Arabidopsis thaliana: one gene and its partner. The protein of the gene in region 2 purifies or fractionates together with the protein of the main gene of each other region. This does not show direct contact. Each region holds a gene or a part of one and is shown on either strand. Other genes may lie near its edges. The genes, in order: CR88 and SGT1A.

Evidence for each region.
Region 1: the proteins of SGT1A (region 2) and CR88 purify together in Arabidopsis thaliana (affinity purification with western blotting, with the first as the bait; one study listed by BioGRID). This does not show direct contact.

The regions. Positions count from the first base shown.
Region 1 is NC_003071.7:1,279,648-1,286,653, forward strand, and holds CR88 (Chaperone protein htpG family protein), read left to right. Parts: upstream 1-2,106; 5' UTR 2,107-2,335; coding exon 2,336-2,587; intron 2,588-2,695; coding exon 2,696-2,769; intron 2,770-2,854; coding exon 2,855-2,980; intron 2,981-3,070; coding exon 3,071-3,164; intron 3,165-3,254; coding exon 3,255-3,338; intron 3,339-3,425; coding exon 3,426-3,569; intron 3,570-3,651; coding exon 3,652-3,768; intron 3,769-3,850; coding exon 3,851-3,886; intron 3,887-3,999; coding exon 4,000-4,080; intron 4,081-4,157; coding exon 4,158-4,262; intron 4,263-4,357; coding exon 4,358-4,498; intron 4,499-4,589; coding exon 4,590-4,682; intron 4,683-4,771; coding exon 4,772-4,849; intron 4,850-4,927; coding exon 4,928-5,182; intron 5,183-5,264; coding exon 5,265-5,367; intron 5,368-5,448; coding exon 5,449-5,623; intron 5,624-5,718; coding exon 5,719-5,824; intron 5,825-5,904; coding exon 5,905-5,994; intron 5,995-6,073; coding exon 6,074-6,262; 3' UTR 6,263-6,497; and 1 more. UniProt on the Arabidopsis thaliana protein: Molecular chaperone required for chloroplast biogenesis. Essential for chloroplast biogenesis and maintenance, and thus for embryogenesis. May be involved in the disassembly of VIPP1 for thylakoid membrane formation and/or maintenance.
Region 2 is NC_003075.7:12,297,879-12,303,277, reverse strand, and holds SGT1A (phosphatase-like protein), read right to left. Parts: upstream 3,401-5,399; 5' UTR 3,264-3,400; coding exon 3,104-3,263; intron 2,529-3,103; coding exon 2,456-2,528; intron 2,269-2,455; coding exon 2,144-2,268; intron 1,996-2,143; coding exon 1,893-1,995; intron 1,819-1,892; coding exon 1,722-1,818; intron 1,640-1,721; coding exon 1,574-1,639; intron 1,481-1,573; coding exon 1,342-1,480; intron 1,249-1,341; coding exon 1,169-1,248; intron 1,085-1,168; coding exon 980-1,084; intron 893-979; coding exon 785-892; 3' UTR 559-784; downstream 1-558. UniProt on the Arabidopsis thaliana protein: Functions in R gene-mediated resistance, but participates in a lower extent than SGT1B to RPP5-mediated resistance. Not required for RPM1, RPS2, RPS4 and RPS5-mediated resistance.

The DNA of each region.
Region 1 (7,006 bases), on a different chromosome or scaffold from region 2:
GCCTTCTCCACCGGAATTCGATTTCACTAAGTTGCGTTATCCCGCAATCCCGCATAGTAGGGATTGAGTATTGATCGGGTCTTGTCGATACAAAGATGTAAAAAAAAAAATTTTACATAGTCTTTTTTTTCTGTTCTTATTCTTTTTTTTGGGGGTAAATATCTGTTATTGAACATTATAATTCAAACACTTCCAAAACTTTTTTTACCTTGTTCTGATATTGATGCAGCGTATCTTGAAGACAAATGCTCCTCCGGTATTCATCACGTCCGAGGAGATTGTTTATTGCTTTACTTTTGGGTTTAGTTTCATATGGACTTAATTAATGTATATTTGGGCTTTGAATATTTGATATTAGTTTGCTTATTCTTTAGGCTAGGGTTTCCATTCTTTTTCTCTTATTTTAAGAGATGTAATTCATTATTGTAATTAGTTTTTGATTATTGAATAAACGAGTTTTAAGAGAGCTTGTCTAAAGCCTAGAGAGGAGGACTCTCAACCCTAAAAGCTTGTGTTCAAGCCCTGCAAGGAGGATTTGCAAAACCTCATCGATATCGTTATCGATCTCGACCTTATCTCTATTGCTTCTTCATCAAGTTTCGGCGTTCTAAACAAAATCCGTTCGTTAATCCGAGTTCTCATAGAGATTTTGTGTTTTCGTCCGTTATTTAGCTTCCGCTCTCCATCAGATATTACTTTTGTTCAGTAGACCATTCATAAATACCTGCCTTGGATCCAAAAATAGGACAAATAAACATCATTTGCATCATTTTATTATTCTTAAAAGAAATTGCAAATTTTTGACCAAATTGCAAATATTTTGTTTTTAGGTTATACCCAATACCCACATACTGTATTATAGTCGTAATAAAAAAAGGAAAAGTTGCAAAATAAGTAGAGGACAGTGAGAAGTTGGTAACTATATATGTTTTGGTTAATTTAGTTATGGGTATGGAGTCTATAACGTATGGTTTCGATATTTCCAATAATTAGCAATCGTGTATCTTCGTTAGCATCAACATTGTTGTATTTTATTTAGTGCACACCTTCTCATAATTTCTAAATCAATAAAATTTTAATATCATTTTATCTTGGTATATGTCACTATGTATGTGGTTATTTTTATGCTTCCATGTTTTTATTTTTTTTGCCATGGAACCATTAGCTTAGGTTGAAAATCATCGATTGTAAACCTATCATGTTTTCATTTTTATGAAATATTAGGTGATCATCCGCGCTACACCACGGTTTTTTCGGATGTTTTTGTATTGTTTAATTTAAATATAATTTTTATTTATCTTATCATTTACTCATGCAATAAGCAATTACATTTAGTATTAAAATATTTTTTTCTAACCACATTCTCAACAATGCATCATACACATAATTTCTAAACAATGTTTATCTTAAACCAATTTAACAGAGGGTAGTGTTGGATTCTATAAACCTAAGAATTTAATGATGGAGCTCCTTACATATTCTTCACCCTCAGTTATTTATTATATAAATATCAATTTAAGAGAATATAAACATCAATTTAAGAGAATATAAACATCAATTTAAGAGAATAACTTAGTTAAATTATTAAGTAATATACTCATACTTTGAGTTTGGATTACCATAAAAATCTTCGAGTATGAGAAAACTATTAAAATGATTTTATTAAAAAATCATGTGATATTAAAATAAATTTAGTAAAAGTACAATTAAATATGTATAATAAAATAATATGTAAAATTAAATATAAATATATCATTAAACTATAGATTTGAAATTGAAGAGATTACATTAATTATTTAATAAACACATGTCAAATGCTAAAGTGATGATGTGTCTATCATATGAAGAGAGTTGGCCAACTTTCATATATATAATTTACGAAAAAAAAAAAAAAAAACAAATATTCAAGATCTCTTTCTTGATATGGGCCAATTTGATACGAAACATTTTCCAGCCATAACCTTTCGTTTTACTTTATACGGGCTATAGGCCCATTATGGGTTAACGTGTAGGCCCAATAAGGTGTTTTTTCAATTTGGTTTGCATTTGGTGTGTGTGTGTGTGTCAGCTACAATTTCTCAAGGAGAGGCGCGTGTAAATCAAACGGATAATCCTACGGTTTTGATGAAATGGCTTCTCGTAGACCTCACAATCTCTAAACATCTCTTCTCTTTATACGCTCTTCTTCTAGAAACCTCTCTTACCTCACTCTCCTTAAACCTTTAATAGGGTTTTTAGGTTACTCTTTGTTCAACTACTACAAACTCTTTTCTCTTTAGAGATTGAGAGATTGTAAAAAAATCTCAAATCTTTTCCTTCACAACTTTCAAATCTAATGGCTCCTGCTTTGAGTAGAAGTCTCTACACATCTCCTTTGACTTCAGTTCCAATCACTCCTGTCTCTTCTCGTCTCTCTCATCTGAGAAGCTCGTTTCTCCCACACGGCGGCGCTTTAAGAACCGGCGTTTCGTGTAGCTGGAATCTCGAAAAGAGATGTAACCGATTCGCCGTGAAGTGTGACGCCGCCGTGGCGGAGAAAGAGACCACTGAAGAAGGGTCAGGTGAGAAGTTTGAGTACCAAGCTGAGGTGGGTTCTCTTTCATATCTCCTAAAGTTTCAATCTTGTTTTCTGGGTATCTCTCAACTTGATGGGGATATAAAGTTTTAAGATTTGATTGTTGAAATCTTATCACAGGTTAGTAGATTGTTGGATTTGATTGTTCATAGCTTATACAGTCACAAGGAGGTGTTTCTCAGGGAGCTTGTAAGGTGAGTCAATTTTGATGGATTGTTTTGGAAATGATTTGTGTGTTTCTGTCAAAATCTGATTTTGAATGTGTCTGTGTATGTTCAGTAATGCAAGTGATGCTTTGGATAAGCTGAGGTTCTTGAGTGTAACAGAGCCTTCTTTGCTTGGAGATGGTGGAGATCTTGAGATTAGGATTAAGCCTGATCCTGATAACGGCACCATCACCATAACGTATGAGAGACTTCTCATTTTTTGTTTTACTTAAGTATTGAAAATTGAATAGAACAGGTTTACTTAGAGAGGTTTGATGCGTATATGCAGTGATACTGGTATTGGAATGACAAAGGAAGAACTTATTGATTGCCTTGGAACTATTGCTCAAAGTGGTACTTCGAAATTCTTGAAGGCTCTAAAGGTTTTTTTTCCATCTCTTTGAAAACCTGTTGCTAGCAAATCTTTGATGTCATGTTTTCGGACTCATTGTTTTATTGCTCTCTTTATTCAGGAAAACAAGGACCTTGGTGCTGACAACGGTTTGATCGGACAGTTTGGTGTTGGGTTTTACTCTGCTTTCTTAGTTGCTGAGAAGGTGAAGACTTTCAACTTTTGTTTTTTAGTGTCTTCTGGTTAATGTATTTCTTACGAGGAATGGACGTACAATTGTCTTTGCTTTCAGGTTGTTGTGTCCACCAAAAGCCCCAAATCTGACAAGCAATATGTTTGGGAATCGGTTGCCGATAGTAGCTCGTATCTGATCAGAGAAGAAACAGACCCTGATAACATTCTACGTCGTGGAACACAAATCACCTTGTATCTGAGGGTACTTTTCTTTATTCATTCATCCTTTCATTTGATGCGTCAGATCTCTTATAGTTTGTTTGACTGCTTATTCCTGGCTGCAGGAGGATGATAAATACGAATTTGCGGAGTCTACAAGGATCAAGAACCTCGTGAAGAATTACTCTCAGTTCGTTGGGTTTCCTATCTATACATGGCAGGAGAAATCAAGGACTATAGAGGTGAGGATGAAAGTTTTGTTTTTGTAATCATATTAGTGTATTCACATTGCTAATATGGTTTAAAATTTGTAACTTGTGGTAGGTCGAAGAGGACGAACCAGTTAAGGAAGGAGAAGAGGTAAAAAAATTATGTTGTTTTAATTGTGTGTATCAACTATCAAACAGTCACAACCAAAAGACTGTTCTAGAATTTTGTTTACTGAGTTGATTTTGTTACTTGTTTGTTTCCAGGGTGAGCCAAAGAAAAAGAAGACCACTAAAACTGAGAAGTATTGGGATTGGGAACTAGCCAACGAGACCAAACCGCTATGGGTAAGCCTTGGAGCTTTAGCCTGCGTTTTGTACTTTTCTTTCAACATGTTTACTGATTATTTTGTGTCTTTGAATAGATGCGCAATTCGAAGGAAGTGGAAAAAGGAGAGTACAATGAGTTCTACAAAAAGGCTTTCAATGAGTTCTTGGATCCACTTGCTCACACACACTTCACAACTGAGGTCTTTATACTTATACACTATACACTATATTTATGTCAATTTATGAATTCTTCAATTGGTGCTTACTAGTCTCTGTATTGTCTTGATTATTAAAGGGTGAGGTTGAGTTCAGGAGCATTTTGTACATCCCTGGGATGGGTCCTCTTAACAATGAAGATGTTACAAACCCGAAAACAAAGAACATTCGTCTCTACGTGAAGCGTGTGTTTATCTCTGACGATTTTGATGGAGAGCTTGTGAGTCTTTTATGGGTTCTTTCTTATGTAGAAATCTCTTTAGATTTGTGGTTCAATTTTTATCTGACTATGTTACCTAATCTGTTTGCAGTTCCCGAGATATCTGAGCTTTGTGAAGGGAGTTGTGGACTCTGATGATCTTCCTCTTAATGTTTCTCGTGAAATTCTCCAAGAAAGCAGAATTGTGAGTGGTGCAACTGTTAGTGATACAAATGTTTATCATATATGAATATCACAAATTGTAACTGTACTATCTTTCGTGATAATGTTCAGGTAAGAATCATGAGAAAGAGGCTCATTAGAAAAACCTTTGACATGATACAAGAAATCTCTGAGAGTGAAAACAAAGAGGTAGGTATCTCATTATCCTAATTTTGTTTTGAGCTCATTTGAAAGCCAGGGATATTCATGTTGTACAAACAATTCTAGGATTACAAGAAATTCTGGGAGAACTTTGGTAGATTCCTTAAATTGGGTTGTATTGAAGACACCGGTAACCACAAGCGTATCACACCGCTACTTAGATTCTTCAGTTCCAAGAATGAAGAGGAATTGACAAGCTTGGATGATTATATCGAGAACATGGGAGAGAACCAAAAGGCGATCTACTACCTCGCAACTGATAGTCTTAAAAGTGCCAAGTCTGCCCCTTTCTTGGAGAAACTAATCCAAAAAGATATCGAGGTATATGCTTCAAGACTTGTTTTTCAACTTCGAGTTTCTGTTTAGATTTGACTTTCTCACCACTTGCTTTTGTTAATTATAGGTTCTATATTTGGTTGAACCAATCGATGAAGTTGCTATTCAGAATTTGCAAACCTACAAAGAAAAGAAATTCGTTGATATCAGTAAAGAAGATTTGGAACTCGGTAAGTATGGTTTAGCACTGCTGACTGCCCGCACATTTCTCTCAACCATTTGTTTGTAACAAAACGTGTCCATTCTCGCAGGAGATGAAGATGAAGTAAAGGACAGGGAAGCGAAACAAGAGTTTAACCTTCTCTGTGACTGGATAAAACAGCAGCTCGGTGACAAAGTTGCAAAAGTCCAAGTCTCAAACCGTTTGAGCTCTTCTCCTTGTGTGCTTGTCTCTGGCAAATTCGGGTGGTCAGCTAATATGGAAAGGTTAGTACTTCAGCAAAAGCTTTATAACCTGAAATCCACATACCATAAAACTTATGTGCTTGTTCATTGACTTATGTGCTTATTCATTGTGAAAGGCTAATGAAGGCACAGGCTCTTGGAGACACTTCAAGCCTGGAGTTCATGAGAGGTAGGAGAATACTAGAGATCAATCCAGATCATCCCATCATCAAAGACTTGAACGTAAGTGTGTGGTATAATATTCTCTCAGAAATCTCTTGTCTCGAAAAAGCCTTATTAATTTTTGTATTCTTTTGGTACAGGCTGCTTGTAAGAATGCACCAGAGAGCACTGAAGCAACAAGAGTGGTCGATCTCTTGTATGACACTGCTATAATATCAAGTGGATTCACTGTAAGAAATCTGAAACCTTTCTTGTTTCCCAGTAAAAGTCTTGGACCATTTTACTCACTTATATGTGTTTGTTGTACAGCCTGATAGCCCGGCCGAGCTCGGGAACAAGATATATGAGATGATGGCAATGGCGGTTGGAGGAAGATGGGGCAGAGTTGAAGAAGAAGAAGAAAGCTCGACTGTGAATGAAGGAGATGACAAAAGCGGAGAAACAGAGGTAGTTGAACCATCTGAAGTGAGGGCAGAGAGTGATCCTTGGCAAGATTGATCCTTTTTTACCTTCTTTTGTTTGCAGTGATTTTTTTTTGACAGAACGCTTTATCTTTCCATTAGCAGTATCATGGGCCTAATGAAAGCCCATAATTAAATCACGCGTGAACGAGATTTATCCAATACAGTATTTGTAGTTTTTTTTTGATAATTAAAATAATTTTAGAGAATTTACACAAAAAAAGCTTTTAACAAAAATATTTACGAATATTTGAAAAATATTTGCATTTGAGTTGTATTAAATATTCTGAATTTACATCCTCTTATTATTAAAAAGAAAATACAAATTGAAAAATAGTCTAATCTGCCATCAATTTTCAATTTTGGATTTTGTACATTATTAATCAAAATCGTCTATGGTAATTTGGTCATCACTCTATATTCCTTAAATACACTATATTTCAAATTTAAATAATATTTCTTAAACACACTATATTCAATACTTATCACCTATTTATTGTTTTTTCAAAGATTTAAAAAAACTAAATATAAAAAATCAATCTAAAATAAACCAAAAATATAGTTATTAATTTTACATATTTTTTATTAAAAATATTATGTTGGCAAACAATATTAAGAGCTCGCGAATTAATTAGTGGAGCGGATTAGAATTTACAATAATTCATAATTATGCATATGGAATAAATTATATTTAAAAATCAATATTCGATATATCAAAATATGGTACAATCACACATTTTCCGGATATTATTTAAACTAATAATCTTAACGGTCCATTAAA
Region 2 (5,399 bases):
TAAGGATTATTGACTCGATGCTCTGATCACCTGCATAATCAAAAGAATATTCCATGTCAATATATATTAAAAAATCACAATTTTATCGGAAAATAAAGGTTGTGAGATGTAAAAATTTTACACAAATAACGTGGGTTTTTTATTTCTTTGGAATATATGGAAGTTTAAGTTCGAAGGCTCTATATGTTCGAGAAGCAGGATCTACAACAAGTTAAATTCATTTCTTTTAAAGAAAACATATCTCTAAAGATGTCGAATCCAACATCTCTACCTAGAAAATATACCATTGGACAACACCAAGTCGGTAACGTAGTTCCTTTCATAATTACAAATATTGTATAACTCTTTAATAAAAAATCACTTTCTCCATACTTAAGTTTAAAACGACTCTAAAGTGACAATTTACAACTCGATCGAGACGACTCTAAAGTGACAATTTACAACTCGATCGAGAGGTTAACTCAATTCTTTGACTTTTAACTCCATACTTGGGATATATTTGGTTTTGTAGACTAATTAAGTAAGTTTTAACAAAAACTAAAGAATAGTGATCATGATGAAATTATGAATACTCAAATAAAAACAAAAACAAAAAAGTTGAGACCTAAAGACAATATAACTCACAAGTCACAACATAGCAGAGGTAGAAAGCCATATTTAACAAAAAAGCAAAAACCTTAGGATCCTCATTACAGGAAGAAAGGGACCAGGTTTCAAGATTTGTCTACATTTAGGCAAAATTCACAACTGCATAAAAAGGAAAGGATCATCATATCATATCAGATCAGATCTCCCATTTCTTGAGCTCCATGCCATCCGGAGGAGTACTCTCGATTGTCTTAGTCCCAACCTCTTGCCAGTTTGTTGACAGCACTGTCCCATTCGATTCCACCTGCTCATTGTTCAAAACCCGAAAACCATAAATGAGTCGATCAAAAGGACAAAACTTTTACAGTACTCCATGAAAAGAGATACTCACAAATGATTTGCTCATCGCTCGCCTCATATCCTCATCCGCATTCTGGTATATCTCCCGGAAGAATTTGTTCAAAGCTGCGTCTCCTTCCAGCTTCTCATCTTTTTCCTGCAAGTCAACCACAATCAAACAAAAGAAGAGAAAAAACAAAACCGTTTGGTCGAGGTTTTAAGTACATGGTAAGAGACGGACCTGCTTCTTCACTTCAGCTTCCAGCTTGTCCCAGTCCTTAACTTTCTTAGAAGATGGATAAGCTGGCCTCTGTGAAACCTCTGCATCATCATACATACAACATAAGATTTACATTACAAGAGACTGTTGTTTAAGCTCATCAGATGACACTGAAGAAGGAAAAGGTAGAAAACCTGATGAGACATTAGGCTTTGGCAAAACCGCTGGCCCTTTGCCGTGTTCGAGGGAGGCCCATGTGATTATATCGGCTTTTGCAAGACAGATCTCAATTTTGGTCGACAATACTTCATATTTGCACTTATCTGGTATTATCTGAATATACACCGTAAAACAAAGTCATGTAACATGTTCAGCTCAGAGTGTTGAAAGAAAAACCAACATTAATTCATTCAACAGATAAATTACCTTTCCAAACAATCTCGGTTGGAGATAATACGCATCCTCTCCAGGAACCTCAATCACAACACTCAGCTTCAAAACACAAAACAATACCATTAACACACAAGCACACAGAAGTGCCATTGAGTTGGGTTCTTAAGAGCCTTATACTCACAATTTGTTCACCAAAGTCGATGTTAACATTCTGCTTGGGTATTCCTTTTGCAAAAACAGTTACCACAACTTCCTCTGGCTTTTGGTAGTACTCGTGCCTGTTAACACTCAAGAATATCAGATATTTAATGATTCTTAAAAACTTTGGTATTGTTTTCTACAATAAAACTACCTGTACTTGGCTGTAGGGGTGACATCAAGTTCAGATACTGGTGGTGCTGTCACACTTGAAGGCAAAGTCGAAGGCACCGGTTGAACCAAATCTTTCTCTTCTTCTGGAAAAAGGATATTTACAAGTTCCATAGATCAAAACCTTAGGTGAATTACATAACAAAATATTTTGCACCATGGCAAACAATACAATCACTCTAGGCATGTAAACATAATCAACCAGAAAACAAGAAAAAAACACAAAAAACATACCTGTGATTAGAAAATTGCATTCATCTATCAACTTCTTAAATTTGGATTCACTCGGCGTGATAGAGGCACCCTTTTCAAGAGCTGTTTTAGCAGTCCGATACTCTTCAAGCTTCATACAGGCAGTTCTACAAATACAAAAACCAAACCATGAACAATGGAAGTAATAGCTTGACAGATATATACCACATTTGCAGACCATATAAACTGGTAGTAAAACAATCTAAGGACTAAGGAATCAGAGAAAATTAAACTCTCACTACAACTTATATACGACTTAAAAATGTTACATAGGAGGAAATAGCAAAACGTTACCCTTTTCTTAGGTAAGCTTTGGTCAATGAAGGATCCAACTCAATTGCTTTGTTCGCATCTGCCACGGCCTCTGCTCATTGAGAATCAAATGAGACCAAAATCTTATCCAACTAGTAAAGTTCTATGATACTACGCTAAAAATGCAGAGAATACTTTCTTAAAGCAAGAAATAGTTGAACTAAAGACTAATCACTCAAGCAAAAATTGAAACTTTCAATACTCCGTTAATACTTAACACTATCTGTAAACAAAATTCTCCATATTCACAATCAAAGAATCAAAAGACTAGCACAGCTAAAACCAACTTAAACCAATGTTTGAATGCATAACTTGTAAAGGGCACTCGCTACTGATAACAAATAACTAAATTTCGTTTCTCATGAAAGCAATTCCGATACATTGTTCCTCCACAAACAGCAAAAGAGAGACACATTAGTATCAAATTGATACGAAAGCTTTAAACTTTCGAAAAGAATTGTGACACTATCAAGCGACAGGACACAAAACGAAACCCTAAATACACATAATCCAGCAAAGTCAACAACTTTCAGCTATGATGAAGTAAGAAACCGAAAACATACAAAAACCCAGAACCCCAGAAGGCGTCCACGACAGTAAAAGACGAAGATAACAGAACAAAGAAGCTACCAGTGAAGCTTTCGAGTTTGATATAGGCCTGAGCACGATCAGCGAAGAACTCAGCGCAATTAGGATCCAAGTCAATGGCTTTGGAGTACAAGTCAACAGCAACATCGAAGTCATCGTCTACGAAAGCCTCTTTAGCCTTATCAGCAAGCTCCTTCGCCATCGATTGACTAAGAAAAAAAAACAGAGGAGAGCTAACAAAGACGATGAAATCAAAACAAGGAGGGAATGAAGTAGAGGGCAAGGTTTGTTACTTATTGCCACAATGGAAGGAAGGAATATAAAGAGAGATTGGATGTTATCGTTCTTCTTCTAGATTGTTCCTTCGTTTTATGCGACTTGTGTTCAGGGAGTTGAAGAGTTCGAACCCAAAATAAAATTTATAAAAACAATAATTTAAATATTTTTCTATTTTTTCCACAAAGTTTCTCCTTATTTTTCTAAAATAATATATTTCATTTTCTATAAATTTAATTTTGTGTGTACATCAAATATGTGAGATTTGATATTATTAAGAAAAATAGGTGAGGTCTCTAGTGTATATATTTTCGTTTAAAAAAAAAAATATATATTTTGTACATGTTGGAATTTTGTTACTTCACTTCAAAAACATTTCATGTACTTTGTCAAGTTTTCTAGAGTTAAAATAGTGTCTGACTTAGATGATGAATAACTGGTTTAATTTATTATGGATCACAAATTACATAGTGGATTTGACAATTTTATGATTAACCAAAGTGGGACTATTGCCTTAGAAAATATTGTTTTCCTAGCAGTTTCGTGGAACCTTATTGGAAGATTCAAATATGTGTGGATAGGGATGGAGAAGTCAATTTATTAGTGTCAAGTGGATGTGGTGAAGTCAATTTAAATAGTATCATATCAACTTTGCTTATGAGTTGAGTTGACCCACAATAACGTTAAATATCAACCTGCATCTGTAAAATTCTTTTTTTTTTTTAATGTTTAGTTCAATATAATTAACCTTGTTCCTCGTATATAAAAAGAAATCTGTGACAAATAGCCGACAAAAAAAAAATCTGTTGGGTTTGATTTGGACCGGAATATAGACATTGCGGCCTATCAAGAAATAAAACTTGGGCTAATCAAACAACGAAAGCCTGCCTATAGTAGATACGAGATAATGTTGATGCTCCCTCATCGGAAGTTTGAGGATGGGCACTCGTGTGTAGCATAGTATAAATAAAGAAGATGGTCGAGGATTGCAAATTACTTACCTGGACGGGGTTTACGGGTGATCATGAAGATCCGTGGCCTAGGCTGGTGGCTTCCTGCACTTGAGGTGCGCTAAGCCAAAGGTCACCCCAAGTGGGAGATCCTGCGTCATTATTTGTTGCCTTGGGGGCCTGCGTTCGCGCGGCCCCTTCCATTTCCAATAGTTCAATCTTTTGATCGTCGTTTTGACTGAGTTAATTAGAGCTAGATCTTAGTCAATGGCTCATGTTACATTTATTTTCACAGATCCAGAAGAAAAAAAAATTCTGTCTAAGTACCAGCTAGGCTGGTTATTGGATAGTGTTAGCGATCCAAGACACTGATGGAGGCAAATCATTGTAATGGGCTCATAGTTGCTGTTAATGGATCTGGTGCTTCTCAAATATTTCATTTGGTTGCAGTCTAACACAAGTTTGCGTTAGAGTGTTAGTGGCAAAAGCTGAAAGTTTCAAGCCCTTATGGTGCAAGATTGATTTATGCCACAGATCAAATGTTGTGGAAGCGGTGCGCATTGCATCCTTTGTGGATCAAACCATTCTCTTTGTTCGAAGAAGTGTAAAGAATGTGTCAAGAATTTTGGCAGCAGAGACGTGACTAGTAACTTTGTAGCTAAGTTCATTTCTTTTAGGAACATTAAAGTTGGCCCAAGATTTATTTACTTGTAGGATTTTGTTGGCGTTTTGCCATATCAGCTTTATCTTTACCTTTTTATGGATGTTTCCATCTTAAAAAGTACAAGATCCAAGTTTCTCTCTATGTAGAAAGATGAGCTTGAAATTGATTTCTTATCCAAAAGGTGAACCATATATAGACACATACACTAGACTCTTTGCTCAAGGTCCGTGGCTAAGGGGGATTTTAAATTTACCATTTTTGCTAGTATTTAAACCATGAGTCTCAGTCTCACCATTATTTTAACAATTTGATCAGCAAACATATAGAAGAACAATTTCAGAGCTCCAAGGCTACATGAATTTGCATCAAGACTCCAAATAATTGGTTCCAGTTTCAGAGCTCTGCTCTAGATGAAAACAATGATCTCTAATTAACTCCTTTCATTTTG